2 linked regions of the Lytechinus pictus genome follow. The protein of the gene in region 2 binds, or shares a complex with, the protein of the main gene of each other region. Links are inferred from orthologs where the notes say so. Each region holds a gene or a part of one and is shown on either strand. Other genes may lie near its edges.

The links.
Region 1: nuclear cap-binding protein subunit 1-like (region 2) and nuclear cap-binding protein subunit 2-like share a complex: the UniProt entries of both Drosophila melanogaster proteins name them as parts of the nuclear cap-binding complex. The link is inferred for Lytechinus pictus from reciprocal best matches to the Drosophila melanogaster genes Cbp80 and Cbp20.

What each region holds. Positions count from the first base shown.
Region 1 is NC_087260.1:6,057,613-6,065,475, forward strand, and holds the start of nuclear cap-binding protein subunit 2-like, read right to left. Parts: upstream 3,103-7,863; 5' UTR 3,013-3,102; coding exon 2,953-3,012; intron 392-2,952; coding exon 210-391; intron 1-209. UniProt on the Drosophila melanogaster protein: Component of the cap-binding complex (CBC), which binds co-transcriptionally to the 5' cap of pre-mRNAs and is involved in various processes such as pre-mRNA splicing and RNA-mediated gene silencing (RNAi).
Region 2 is NC_087249.1:29,004,046-29,011,489, forward strand, and holds the start of nuclear cap-binding protein subunit 1-like, read right to left. Parts: upstream 3,017-7,444; coding exon 2,924-3,016; intron 1,116-2,923; coding exon 1,015-1,115; intron 610-1,014; coding exon 525-609; intron 1-524. UniProt on the Drosophila melanogaster protein: Component of the cap-binding complex (CBC), which binds cotranscriptionally to the 5'-cap of pre-mRNAs and is involved in various processes such as pre-mRNA splicing and RNA-mediated gene silencing (RNAi).

The sequences.
Region 1 (7,863 bases), on a different chromosome or scaffold from region 2:
AGCAAATATATCAAGGAATATAATATAAGGTACTAGAATAATGTGTGCAAAAATAGTAATGCCACAACATGAAATATATGATTTGTTATTTTGTCTACAAGAATTTATCAAATTGAAAATGTTCTCTTGACTCATTTTAAATTCATATATACCAAACATAAAATTTGACTGTCTAACATCACCATTACATAGATTTGTGTAAAGGATACTCTATGAAGCAAAAACCGCAAGGCGTTCTCTTGACCTTGTCGAGCCCCATAACAACACGCTTGATATCACCGCACTTCGAGAAGACCTCATAGATTTGTTCCTCCGTGGTGTAGAAGGACAGGTTACCTACATACAAAGTGCATGAGTCTTTCAGCTTCCTTTCTTGCTGGTCCATAGAGCCCTGCAATGAATTCATATAAATAATAATTACCAATTAAATGCCTTGCTCTCTGTTGCTCTTTCTTTAAATCATCTAATTTTCCATCCTGCACAGATCGGGCCATTTGTCTGAAGAATTAAAGTCATCATGGGACTGGTAAACACTTTACTAACATGAATATCAGTATGTGGGACTAGAGTGAAATTTCAGATCAGATAATTGCTATCTTTGGAAGAGTTTTAAAATGTGAAGAAATAAAATATCATCATTGGATTTAATATATTTTGTCACTATCATACTAATAATTAACATACACGAAAATCAAGTAAAAAAATTATTTGTCCGGGGGTCAAACTCAAGGTCAAAGTAAAGGTCAAGACCTTATAAATCGCTCCAATTCATTATTTGATGCATGTTTTGGATTCCTCTCTGAATTTCCTTTTGAATGGTACCAGTTTTGTGAAAATTGGTCAACACGTTACGACGCAATGGCCATTGAAAGTTGAAGGTCACGCCCATTTTTGTCAAAACAAGGAGAAAAGGGCGGGCCGTAGCACGAGAACCGACGGACCGATTGGACTATTTTTTTTGTTTTGTGCGTGGGCCATGGTGAATTTTATGTGTACCAAATTACAACGAATTCTGAGAGGGTCGGGTGCAAAATTGCACATTCATTGGGTGAATTGGCATGGAATGACCCTTCTGCCTTCCTTCATTTCTTTCTGTCTTTCACTCTATCTTTCTTTTCTTTCTTTCTTCTTTCCTTTCTCTCGTTTTCTCTTCCTTCCATCCATCCTTTACCTTTTCTTTTTCTCTCCTTTTACCTGAATTTTCTTTCTTTATTCGTTCCTTTCTTTCCTTCTTTCCTTTCTTTCTCTTCCCCTCAGTTTTTTTTCTTTCCTTCCTTCTTACCCTTCTTTCTTTCTTTCTTTCCATCTTTCTCTTCCCCGCAGCCATTCTCTCTCTCTCTCTCTTTCTTTCTTTATTTTATTTTTTTTACTTTCTTCCTTCCTTTATTTCTTCCTCCTTTCTGTCTTTCTTCTTATTTTTTTTCTTTCATTCTCTCCCCCTCTCTTAATTTCTTTTTTTTTCTCTGGTTATTTTCAGTGATTTCCCCTTTTTTATTGTGTGTCCTAGTCCCCTCCAAAATATATGGAAAATATATGAGATTAGGAAATAAATTAAAGAGCATATTGACCATACATTTTGTCATGATGTACAAGATAAAAATCATTAAAAAAAAGAAATACAGCTACAAGGTACATCAGTAGTCATGTTGAAAAATATATTAATAAAGCCGTCAATGGTATGGTATGTAAAACCGTACGCCTATAACTTGTTTTGAAGCAATAAAACTTTGTTTTGAAGGATTTTTTCGGGCAAGTGAAATCTATATTCAGGCAAGTATTTTCCAAATTTGAAAATTTACTTGCCCGACTGGGCAAGAGCTTCAAAAAAGTTATGTAGCACCCTGTTTAAGCCTGAAGAATATTTTTGAAAAGTCCGCGAAGTTTGGACACCCTATCATACAAATAATCTGAGCTTTATATATTTTGATGAAGAATAATGGACGCTAATGCAGTTTCGCACCGGCCGATTACCAGCATACCTCATCACCAATACTTGTTCCCAAATGTCATGACAAGTCTCTCAGTCACATTTCGAGGTCAATATACCCACCTCTTTTCCAAATATCGCGATCGGGAACGGCTGTATTTCAGCTTTGATCTCGATGTCGTTGTTCGAATCCTCAGACATCACTTCGCGGATCGCTTGGATTCGCCGTGTGCCGTAATGTTGATATGGACTGAAGTTAGCAACCAAATCATGCTCACATGTGGCGAACAAACTGCCAGCATGCTGCAGGCGAATCTTTTGGTCGCATGACTTCAGTCCATATCAACATTACGGCGCACTGCGAATCCAAGCGATCCGCGAAGTGTTGTCTGAGGATTTGAACAACGACATCAAAGCTGAAATACAGCCGTTCCCGATTGCGATATTTGGAAGAGGTGGGTATATTGACCTCGAAATGTGACTGAGTGAGAGTGAGAGATTTGTCATGACATTTGGGAACAAGTATTGCCTTGGTGATGAGGTATGCTGGTAATCGGCCGGTGCGAAACTGCATTAGCGCCGAATAATTAATGTTCACTCTTTTGAATTCTGGAATTAATTAAAGCATCAATTGGTATTTTGTGTGATGAGAATTTCATGAATTTCTCTCCGATTTCATTTTCGTCGTCGAGACTTCTCGCGTGAAGTTGAGATGATTTAGCAGCGCAGCATAGAGGCGTGACATCATGTACTATCGATAACGCAATCGGTATCATTCCTCTGAACCCAGCTCGGTGTTGGAGCTCGGTTCAGCGGCCTTTTTACGCTCTCAACACCAACACCGAACTTGAAATCACCCAATGCCATGCCAGATGCCGAATGAAGCAACGTAAAAGTGAATGCGTGGGGTTGTGTAGGCCATAGGCCTAAACGAAAAAAAAAACGAAACAAGGGGTCAGTTTACAGGGTGTTATCAACTAAATTCAAACAATTTGACAGTTTAAAGAAATCATGAAAAATCATACCCTAAAATGCTGGTCTCTATAGGCACTAAGCTCAGTCATACGGTCTGATTTTAAAGCCATTTTCGGTACTTTTCTGCCAGTCCCAGAGAGCGAAAAGTTCCAAGCGAAACGCCAACAATTAGTTTTTAATGAAAACGCCCTCTACGCTATAAACGCTATAGCGATCACCTTCTTTATTTTGTATAGTGAGGGAAAAGCAAACAACAGATGCTGTAAATTTATGCTTCAATATTTAAAACCTAATCTCTCAAACCCATACAGCCATAAAGTTTACCTTACAGAACAGATTTGAAATAATTGGAAACCAATGATCATAACCTAGGGGCCAGACCGGGGGGGGGGGGGGTGGCGTACGTCGGCGTCCAATCCATGCAGTTTCTAATTGTATTGACCTGCCAAAATCTTTCTTTAAAAGATTAAAGTGGAAGTTCACCCTGACGATAATTTGGTTTTAAAACAGGAGAACAATATATATATATATATATATGACGATGTGCATAAAACTGTTTTCACAAAATATTGATAAACTTTAAAATTCAATAACTTCGTTATTTGTTATCTGATTTTGATGGAATTTTCAGCATTTTGCTTTGTGAATTTTACTCTATTTATTCAGATATAAATATTTTCAGCCCGGACCATCCCTTTAAGTTTTTAAAGAATACATTTCTATCCAGTAGACCCATTTACCTCACCTGGGAAGTGAGCTCAGCAAAACGTGGATCAACTTCTTGCAAAAAAACCCCACACCATGGCTGGGATTCGAACCCATGACCCTCGTTCAGGGGACTAATCCACTGGGCCAGTGGCGTACCGTGGGTCACGGCATTGGGGGGGGGGGCATAAGCAAAAATTTTGAGTCACTGTTGCCAGGTATACTGACCTAATAGAAACATTTTAAGGACAGTGCCATTAAACGAATATGTATCTCATTGATGAAATATTGCGAGCAGGAAGCGCGAGCTGAAAATTTTTGATGTTCAGACCTAAATTGGGACATTATAAGCAATTTTTTGTAATCATGATACGTACCCGTCTCGCTAAACAAACAACGCGAGCGCGAAGCGCGAGCTGAAATTTTTTATATATTGACCCCAAACAGGGACATTTAAAGGACTATACTTTAGGAATCCACGAAGAGTATACATATCTCACCATAGTCATCTAATGCGAGTGCCAAGCGCTTGCTGATTTTGTTAGAATTACATCTAAACACATGAAACACTTTTTGTAGTCATTATAATCATGATTATCATACACCTCTCACTAATCAAATATTGCGAAGCGCGAGCTGAAAATTTAGGAAATTCAGACGTGAAGAGGGCATTCTAAGGCTTGTTTGTTGGAATGCACTAAGACCATACGTATTTCACTAACCAAATGATTGGAGCGCGAAGCGCGAGCTGAAATTTTTTATATTCAGATCAGAAAAAGTGACACTTTAAGGACTGATTTTAGGAATTCATGAAGATCAGACATATTTCACCAATCCTCTAATGCGAACGTAAGCACGCACAGGAAATGTTTTATATTAAGACCTTAAAATGGGGCAATCACTTTAAGAAGTCATGAAAAAGAAGCATGTTACTACATGAAACAAAAATAACTCGAAGTATATTTGGTGTATATTGACTTGAAAACGGGAGGCTTTAGTACAACAGGATTATAAATCTCGTTAAAAAGACAATGCGAGCACCAGGAACAATAAAGACTTAGGCCCTGAGCAAATTATGTTTCATAAAGTTATGAAAAAATATGTCATATGTAATATAACATAACATGATTATAATATAATATATGAGTTCTTATTCAAAGGAATTTCATAGTGCGAGAGGTTTGCATTTGGTGAAAAGATTCTGCAAAATAGTGTGCAGTGACTTTCTAGAAACTTTAAATCATGTGTAATATGGAGAGGTGGGGGAATAGGACTGAGCACCGATGGCGCTCCAACCCTATAATTTGTTTGAAATATACTAGTAAGAGGAAAAACACGCTTCTTGTCATTTTTTGTCTTTTTAAATATATTTATTCCTATACAATTCAAGAAAAGGAACACGTTCTTAAGCATCTGTAATGATGGTAAAGTTTGAATTTCAAAAAAAAAATAAAAAAATCCCCCCCCCCCAAAAAAAAAATCGATTAGACATTGTCCACAGCTTCGACTTTCTTATACATTTTGTATGTTAATATGGTTAAAATAATAGTTCAATGCAACAAAAATACCGTTTCTGCTTCAATTTAATATGGATTTACCAATTACTTGTGTTACTTTGACTGGACTATAAGGGATAATTATGTGTCTAGTATTTATCTGGTGTAACTGCGGAAAATCGTACTTTAATATTTCCCTCAAATTCGGGGAAAATGTGTGTTAGTGTGTGTAAGGGTGTGTTTGTGGGTGGATGGGTGTGCATGTGTGGTTATTTTGACATTTCTCTCGAAATCATCGCTCACTGCCATTATCAGCCTCGTTCAGACATGGAATTCTTCTATTACGCATGGATTAAAATTCAAAATATATTTCTCCAGTCTTGTCAAGACCAAGACAAAGGCTGTTTTGGTCGGAGGAAGCCCAGCCGGTGGAAAAGTAGGAGTAGTGCCCGTCTGGACAGAGTTACCCCGACCTTACTCCGACCAAGATACTAATACTGGTTTGCCTTTTATCTACACTGTTAAAAAAACCTGATTTTACAGAAAAAAAGAAGATTTTGCAGAAAGCAATAACAGAATCATTCTGTAAATTCATAAAACAGGAATTTTTCTGCAATTTAACAGTGAGAACAAGTCTGTTTAAAAAGGGGGAAAGGGTGTTTTATTTAAGGAAATTTGTAAGGTTCCATACACCAAATACCAATTTTCTGTAAGATTACGCAATCTGGTAAGATTACAGGTGTTCTCGAGACCGTGCTGCAGGAACTTCTTTTATTTTAAGGTTAACTTTTCTAACAGTGCATGTACACTCTTAAAATGTTGGGCAACATATACTCTCCACACAACAATAAAAAAAATTGTTTAAAAAATTTATCCAACTCTGGGTAGCTTTCAACCAATACTGAGTAGTTTTCACGCACCCAAAGCACACATGATTGGTTTAAAAATACCCAGAATTTTATAAAGTTTTCACCAATTGTTGTGTGGACAGTATGTTGCCCAACGATTTTTGGAATGCAACCTGACCTTCCTGGCACGATTCCTTTGTGTACGATTATTTTTTTCATCTAAGGATTGAGAATTCCAGACGTTTTTAATTGTGTTTACCTGCCGTCCGAATGATCTTATGTTAGATTTCTTTCTGCCTAATAAACTTTCAGAAGTGAAAATTGTGATCTGCGTGTTGGTTCAGATAGAGCATGATAAAAAGTAGATCTTGTAATGCATTTTAGTTCCAACGAAGATATTTATTTTTAGAACTATAGCAAAGTTTTGACGCAAACACAATTTGATTTATGTTAGTGAAACCTTGAAGAAGACGTGCCCACGTCAAAACTTTGGTATTTATAAGAATGACAATCTTCATTGGAAATGCATTAAAATTCCTTTCCTTTTGTAACATGAATTGATCAATTCAAGATATATGTCATTTAAGGATGTTATCAAATAGCAGTATGTGATCTAAAGTGTGTTTTTTAAAATCGTTCTTTTTCTGCAGCAGTAATATCCTATACAAAATTGTTAGTGTTGCATTATATTTCCATGCAATTATTATTCCATTATTATATATGGTAAATTAAGGGTGAAATATAGTGTAAACAATGTGCGAGAATGGAGAAAATGTTTGAGCTTATAAATGATTCAAATGTTTCTAGTAATTGTTATACTTATATCATCGATGTGAGACTTCCCGAATAATTTCGTATCAATATGAACACCCCACAATCCTGTAATAGAAACAATTTCAAGGAAAAAACATATATGGGAAAAGGAAATATTGACTATAAGTAATAAAAAGAGGCGGACCATCACTATGAAAAAAAAATTAGTCAATCATGACTAGTTAATAGGGTCAGCTGGGTGCAACTGTTATTCTGGTCATATTTGACTATTTTCTAATCGTATTTTACTAGAACAGAGTTATTTCTGACTAGAATATAAAATTATGTCAGAAATGTGACTATCAGTTGCACCCAGATGACTACTGGCCTAGTCAATTTGACTGATTTGTTTTAAGAGTGAAGGTCGCTACTACATGGGACGCCACAAATAATAATTGGACGAGGAGACAAATTGCAATTATTTACTGATACAAATTGCGTCCAATCAGTGAGGTCATCAACCACTCCCAAGGCCTTCCCTCTAACTCCACAATGACAAGGCTTGCGTATAGAGAATTTCATGATTTATTGTGACAAAGGCCTTAGAGAACTCAAGGATGATACTGACAGTTCACCAATATCGTATAAGTGGTGAATTAACTTAGAGAAATTGCATGGAAATTACTATGGTTTTCACGGAATCCAAACTGGAAGTTTGAAAAAAAAAGCGTTGTTATTTGAAAAATTCATTTGTTTCTAGAATTTTGGATAGTAAAAAAAAGATTAGGACGGATGTTGGACGGCTATTGGAAACGAGTTGGTTATCACCTTTTTAACGATAGTTTGACTTTAGAAAGTGTCATTTTATCGCCGGGAACCTGTCAAGTGCTTAGAAAGATATTGAAAATGTGTACCAATGGATCAACGATGGCTGTGACAATCTACATATAAACTTAGGCATACCTTCAGATTGCTAAGAATGTTTATAATTTCCATCTAATTAGTAGGATTAAATTAAAAGAAAACCCCATGGAATTGGGGTTGACAAGAAATCATATAGGATTTATTATCTCGAGGCACTTTCTTAGCCAAGTTGTTGCCAACTTGTGAAAAAAAATATGGATTGAGCTTGTGATTAGATTAGTGTCGTCTGTGATAG
Region 2 (7,444 bases):
ATATATTTTTTTACCATAGTTTTTCTTCGACACCAACAAAAAGCTGTTTACAGGGCATTTTAAACTATTTTATACAGGTGGTGTATAGGGAGTGTGATGTCAGCAAACATGTTTCTGGTTGACCTTTTTATTCATGGACCTCAGAACAGTTCCCTCCCCTAACTTAATGTATACAAGATGCCCCATTAATTACCCTTAACTATAGCACAGTGTGCATGTCTGGCTGAAAACAAGCAATTTAGTATGTGAGTCGCTATTTTACTAGAAGTTCACCATGTTTAAAAAAAACAGACTGCCTTTTATTGTTGAGTAATAAGTTTTGACAATATCAAGTTAAGGAAGTGTAATACAATTTTGACACAAGAAGTTTGTCTGGCATTGGAGTCTTGCATTAAATATCAATCATTTGGGTACAATAACTGGTGGCAAATACAACTAGAGTTTAGCATGAAAAGATTGAATGATATCAAATCTAGTTCACAATGGATGTCAAATAGTTTTGTGTATTTGCCCTTTTCACTTACATCGTCACCAAAGCTGAAGTTTTTGGCATTTAGAAGACCCACCAGTGTGGTGTAGACAGTGATCTTCTCTGGAAGTGCGACAGCGCTAAATAGAAAAAAAAGCACATAAAAAAAAGGTTAAAAAAAAAAAAATCCATATACATGTAAAACCGCCTTACGTACAAATGCATTGCATGATTTTTATTCATCAAGATAAAAGAAACATAGAATCTATCAAACATTCACATCTTTACATGAAGGTATAAAATGTATTAATACATTGTTTCAAATGAATACTTGTTCAGTGTTCACAAGAAGGAAGATACAAAACATGAAATAGGAATAAACTTTTATATTCTTGAATTACCCATGAAATGATATCAGAGTAACAATTGAAATGGAATTAATTTTGTATTGGTCAGAAGATGTGAAGGGTTTGTGTAATTCTACTGTCTACAAAAAATATGTTCATATCATGTTGATGCATGTACACAAAACTAAAAAATCTTACCATTCGCACAAGATTTTGATAATCTTTGCTTTGTAGTTGGGTAGATCAGCCTCTAACACCCCTGATAGCCCCTCCAAATTACTCTCAAGCGATGAAGTACTCTACAAAAAAATCACAAAAAGTTAATTTTTGCTATAATTTCCTATAAATGTGAGTACACTTTCTTGAAGATCTTTGAAAGAACGAAAGAGCATTACATTACAAGAACAGAAAGTTGGACAAATTACTAATTTGTACAGTAGCATAACAAAAAAAAGGGGAGAGAAAGATATGTTATACAAATGATGCATGCACATGAGTTCATTAGGCGATCTATCCTCACGCGAGTTGAGGCTCTGTTCAATCCATTGCACGAAGCCGTTAGGCTGAGTGCAATGGGGTGAACACAGCCTCAACGAGAGTGGATAGGTCGCATAATGGACGAATGAAGGCATGCATCATTTGGTTTATACAACAAATTATCTAGATTTTGTTTTTTTACAATAGATAAGAAAAAAAATCAACACAAGCAGATGGAATTAAGACATATTTTGCCTTTGTTTGACAATTCATTTTCTCTGAAAATATTTTTGTTTTCCCGGTATGAAAACAGTTAATTGTTTTTGTTTTTTTGTGACGCACTTTGATTCATGAATCTGAGTGCGCGCAGTCAGCCTGGTTGATGCGCTTACTTCGATGCGCGCAAACACACACACACAAAATGTACGTAGACACGCATGCTTAGTGGTACACACTGAAGGAGAAAGCTCAACCGTGCAATGGAAAAATAAAAAATGCATTGTCGCCGTGCAATGGAAAATAGAATTTGCATGCAGCACAAAATGGATCAAACATTTAATGGCTTTCAACCAATCAAATTACAAGATGTATGAGTTGTATAATTTGTACTGAACCACTGGTAACATTCTCTACTTTTATTCACTCAGTATTAAAGGAAATCAATCAAGGAATTAACAATATGACAATCAATTACTTAGTATTTCCGTTGAGTCCTTTTACCAAAGAATGTAAAACATATCAGCTCTGTTATACAGTGCGTCCCACAAAAAACGAAACCGAGATTTAGCGATGATTTAACATATCTTAATCATAAATACAATAGACAAATGACCTACCAATGTAAAGCTTAGAATCTCCTCTTTTATCTGATATTACTTATATTATTCCTCATTCACGCATGAGTGAGCAAAAACAATTTGAAGAAAGGATACCAAAAACTCATTTGGCGGGAGTATCTGAATTTCATAAAGAAAATCACATGCCTAAAAAGTTCAATATCTGCTCTTTTATTTGATATCTTGATCACAGAAAATGGTTAAGAAGTAAAAAAGATATGTTCCCTCGAAACAATGCTTGTATTTCCATAATTTCATTAAATGAACGAGTTTTCATCGGTTTCCCACAGAAGCTATACGGTAACAAAAGACTTAATGCATGGCTGATTGTCAACAAAACAGAGTGTCGAGTGAGTTTGAACGCTGGCCTGTAAAACCTCTTCATTTTTATGAAATTATTGAAATTCAAGCCTTATTTCAAATAACCAGAACTTTGTTACTTCTCGACCATTTTCTGTAATTGAGGTATCAAATTAAGCAGCAGATATTGAACTTTTTGAAAATGTGGTTTTCTTTGTGAAACCCAGATACAGCCCGCCAAGTGACTTTTTGGTATCCCCTTTTCAATTTTGTTTTGCTCACTCATGCATGAATGAGAAATAATCTAAGTAACTTCAGATGAAAGAGGAGATTCTAAGCTTTACAATGGTAGATCATTTGTCTATTGTATTTGTGATTAAGTTATGATAAATCGATAAATCTCTGTTTCGTTTTTTGTGGGACGCACTGTATAAATATATATATATATATAAATGATTTTTCTAACTCATTCATTAATTCATTCATTCAATTACCTTCTCTCCAACTCTGGTGATCAAAGACTCCAATCTTTCTTCAATCTGTGCATTGTCTGGCCTTCGTCGTTTGGACCTATGGCCAGTATCCATTTCTGATCGATAACAAAAATAAAATATAAACGATTGTGATGATATCTCTATCTTGATATTATATGACATAGAAAACATGTGGATCATGGAACAAGTTAGCTTGAGGGCAGAAAAATAAATGAATAACATCTACAAAATTTAGAGAAACATTTGACAAATGATATTACATGCAAGTTATGAAAAATCTGGCCATTTCACACCAAATTCTATTGGCAGATATATTTCATTTTGGACAATTTCCCCCATCTAAAATCACAAAATATACACTTTTTTTAAAATCATCCATATTTTAGCATTCATAAAGCAAAACAAAATAATAAAAAAGAATTTTTTAACATAAAGTTTGACATTAAATAATAATAATAATACCATCATGCTTATATAGCGCATATCACTGCCAAATGCGTCCCTATGCGCTAAATTGGATATTATTACCCTGGCTTTAGCCTCGCAGCCTTTTTACAGCGCGTTGGCATTTCAAGGAATAAATTCCTTCCAGGTACCCATTTAACTCACCTGGGTCGAGTGCAGCACAATGTGGATAAATTTCTTGCCGAAGGAAATAACGCCATGGCTGGGATTCGAACCATGGCCATGCTTTAAAAATTACTAGTTGCCTGATTTGGGCCATCAAAACTTAGCATTTTTCAATGATGGTTGCCCAAGTTAAATTTCTGGTGGCCATGGGCCACTGCTAACGTCGTGCCTTGTTTAATGTCTTTACCTCTGTCTTCTTAATCCAACTTCAAACTTTCAATCTTTGTCAAAATTTCATCTTCATGATCTTCATCCACATTTTTTCTTCTCTTTTTAAAATTATCTAGAGCTGTTAGATTCAATTGCTTTGGCGTAAGTGCAGAAGCAGAATACCCCCACCACCATGTTGAATGGCTACAATCTACACACAGTACTATGGCAAGTACCAGTATGCTTAATTTGGAAAGTGGTGGGGTATTCGGGCATGCACTTTGATAGACTAATGTCCTTTCACAATTGGCCATTGGCATATTGCCATAGACCTTATCGCAAATAGCGTTCGTCGCTAAGTATCAAAGTATCACGGAAATGAAAAGGGAGCAAACGCGGAATCGGCTTTCAGAAAGCCATACAACGCCATATGTTTTGTGCAGTATCACTCAAAATCCAGGCTTTTTCAAGTCTGATTTCTTCGTATTGAAATTATTTTGGACACTGAATCTGGATTTACCCGGTATAGAACAAAGTTTGTACCATGATTGCACAGTGAAAGTATGAAATCAATGCTCACAATATTTTCATAGTTTTCTGGGGCTAAATTTGGGAAGATTTTGTGGGAAAAGTGAGCATGGTGATTGCGGGTCAAACGGCCGATTGTCTTTAGAACAGATTATTCGGCAATCAGAAGAGAGCCTGATGCTATTTTTCCATTAAAGAATATTGACGAGAATCATAATGTAGACCATAATATATTTTATCTCTATAACTAGTAAATTTAGCTAGTTTTTGTTATTTCGGGGGAAATATAGTCCTTTGCAAATCAGGCTTTTGATTTTGATCATTACAAGATCTAATGTTAGAGAGGGGGGGTGTGAGACTCGAGGATCAAGCGGCCGGAGAGACCAAATATAGTATATTAAAAATAAGCTAGTGTGTGTGTGTGTATATATACGTACAGTATATACAGTGCGTATAAAAAAAACGGGACAGTTTTGAAAAGTCTATAAAAAATTTGTTCCATATCATTATATCTATATTTTGATGTTAATAGATGGTCTGAGATCTTATCTTTGAAATGCCATTTTAAGAAATAAATTCTGTTCATGCTTGAGCGAACACGGGACGCTTTTGTTGGGGGTTCAAAAAGAGGCTTGCGCCAAAATGACAGAAATGAGAAATTTGATGATTAGACTTTTGGCTAATCAGCAGACTTCCTCTTCATCTTAATATTATCTTTGCCATAATGTTTGAATTATTCTGTCAAATTTCAGTTACAAATTTATTTATTTACCTGAATTATTTTGTTTTTCATTTTAACTTATTTTACCTTGGAATTTCCTTCATATTAGTAAGAAAAGAAGACTTCTTGTCAACCCAAGTACGAAGATTTGCATTATTAATTGGGAGAATTTGTAATTATGCAAATCCCTTTTATTAAGTGAAACAAATTATGTTATGGTACCTATAAAAGACATGAATCCTATTTTTAAGGTGTTATTGAATCCTTCACCAAGTTTAATTATGTGCTTGACAGGACAAACAGGAAAGGATTCATGTCTTTCAGTGGCAATGGTGTATTGAGTCAAGTTTGAAGGAGCAAGATATGGCAGATCTGGTAAAATGTATTAAAAAGTTGTGAAGCGAGCAAGCAAACTTTTCTACTTTTTAAAATTTAAATATCAATTTTTTTTTAATTTAAATATCCATTTTTTTTATTCAGAAAATGATATCATATTTCACTGTCTATGTTTTCTGTTATTTCCCTTTTTTTTTTTTTGGGGGGGGGGCACCCCGAACCCCCACCCATCAGTATGCCACTGTTCAAAGGCACCATAACCTTTGTAGCACACAATGAAAGGATTTGAAGAAAAAAACACGCTCTCCCATACTTCGGTTTAAAAAAAATTGTTCTTGCCTAAAGAAGGAATATTCAAAGCTAAAAGAGAACAACCAAAGAACAATTCAAGCAAATTTAAGTAGATTTGGAAATGAATTTTAACCGCATAATTCGAAAATTATGGCAAAGATAATGAAAAGGTTAAGAGGAAGTCTGCCGATTAGCAAGAAGTCCGACCATCATATTTATCATTTTATGCCATTTTTGTGCAAGCCTACTATTTAACCCCAGACAAAAACAAGCATGAACGAAACTAAATTATTTTAATGGCATTTGAAGGATAAGACTTCAGAGCACCTATTAACACCAAAATATAGAGATCATAATTCGAAACAAAAATTTTATATACTTTTAAAATCTGTCCCGTTTTTTTTTATACGCACTGTATACATATTAAGAAATATATATATACATGTATATATAGGCCTATGACATGCAGAATAAAGATTAAATAAATCCCTGAATTTAAAACATTTTATGAAGCCGTATAGGCCCTAGTATTCTTCATGGTCCCCCTCTAACCTCTCTGTAATTTTATTTTGTCTAAAGCAGCTGATGGAAATTTAATTCATATAATGATACATATTCAATTTTCTTAATAAAACAAATATTATTTCAAAATTTGCATCTTCAATTCTCGCTACCCCAAATAGCGATTTCGCCGAGATCCGGGAAAATCCCTGTAACGTGCATTGCATTATGGGATAGCTTTTCGGTATCACAACTTCCTGTTCGGAAGTCCAATGCACTGTTTTGCCATTCAGATCAACAGTGCCATCAGTTCAACACAACGTCGCTTTCGCTCGGAAAGTTCGTGATCACAACCAGTAGCGTACCGTGAACCGCAGGAGACAAAGCACTGGGGGGGGCACTGCATTGTCTGTGAACAATGCTTTGCCCCCCCCAATGCTTTGTCTCCTCCGAGTCACGGTACGCTACTGATCACAACCCTCTCTTTCACGATACAGTTTAACGGCCTTTTCTGCTAAAGTCACTAATTCTGCCCGATGCTTTCCATTGCACGGTATTCCTCTGTCAGTTAAGATTTTTTTAAGTTCCGAAACTGATTTTTTATCCATTTTGTGGTCGACGAAAAATTGAACGGAATGAAGGCTGTATATATTTAGCGTCTGGTCGAATACGATCGTGATGTCAGGCCGGTCGCTAAATGCAAAATTTTAAGATATTCATTTTTTATAACCAAATAAAAACACGAATAAAAATTATTTTCACGTGAAATATATATATTTTTTAAATTTATAATTCAAATGGAATCAAAACTGACCAAATTAAATAAAAAGTATTATAATCTGTACATATTACGCTGATTGGCATCGATTTCAGCATGGTGGAAAACTCAGTATCGGGGCTCACAGGCCTAATTCATTTCCCATAGACTCGTGTGTTAAAGTGGCACTTAAAAAGAATTCATAAAAAATAAGGAGGAAATTTGAGGGTTGAATGTTTACTACCAGTGGATAGGATAAATGTCTGACATTCCATATCTGACCAGAAAAGGGTACCTCGACCGGCTCATTTTGAAAATAAATCCGCATTTATGAAGACTACACCTGCTGGGACCAAATTCATCACTTGAGTGAGTAAAATGACCCTAATTCTTCCGCCAGTAAAAATATAGTTCCATAATGGTGATATATCTTTCCAATTTGGAAAAAGTAAGTTCAGTAGGTACCCTCCCTAGAATCAGTGTTAGATTGTCAGTCATATTCATTCATTTTTGTCAATCAGCAATATCAAATTTAAAAATTGAGCAATGGGTTTGCGACCATCGCGAACCTCGCGCGAGCATGACTCTGAACCGGAAGTGGTGATGA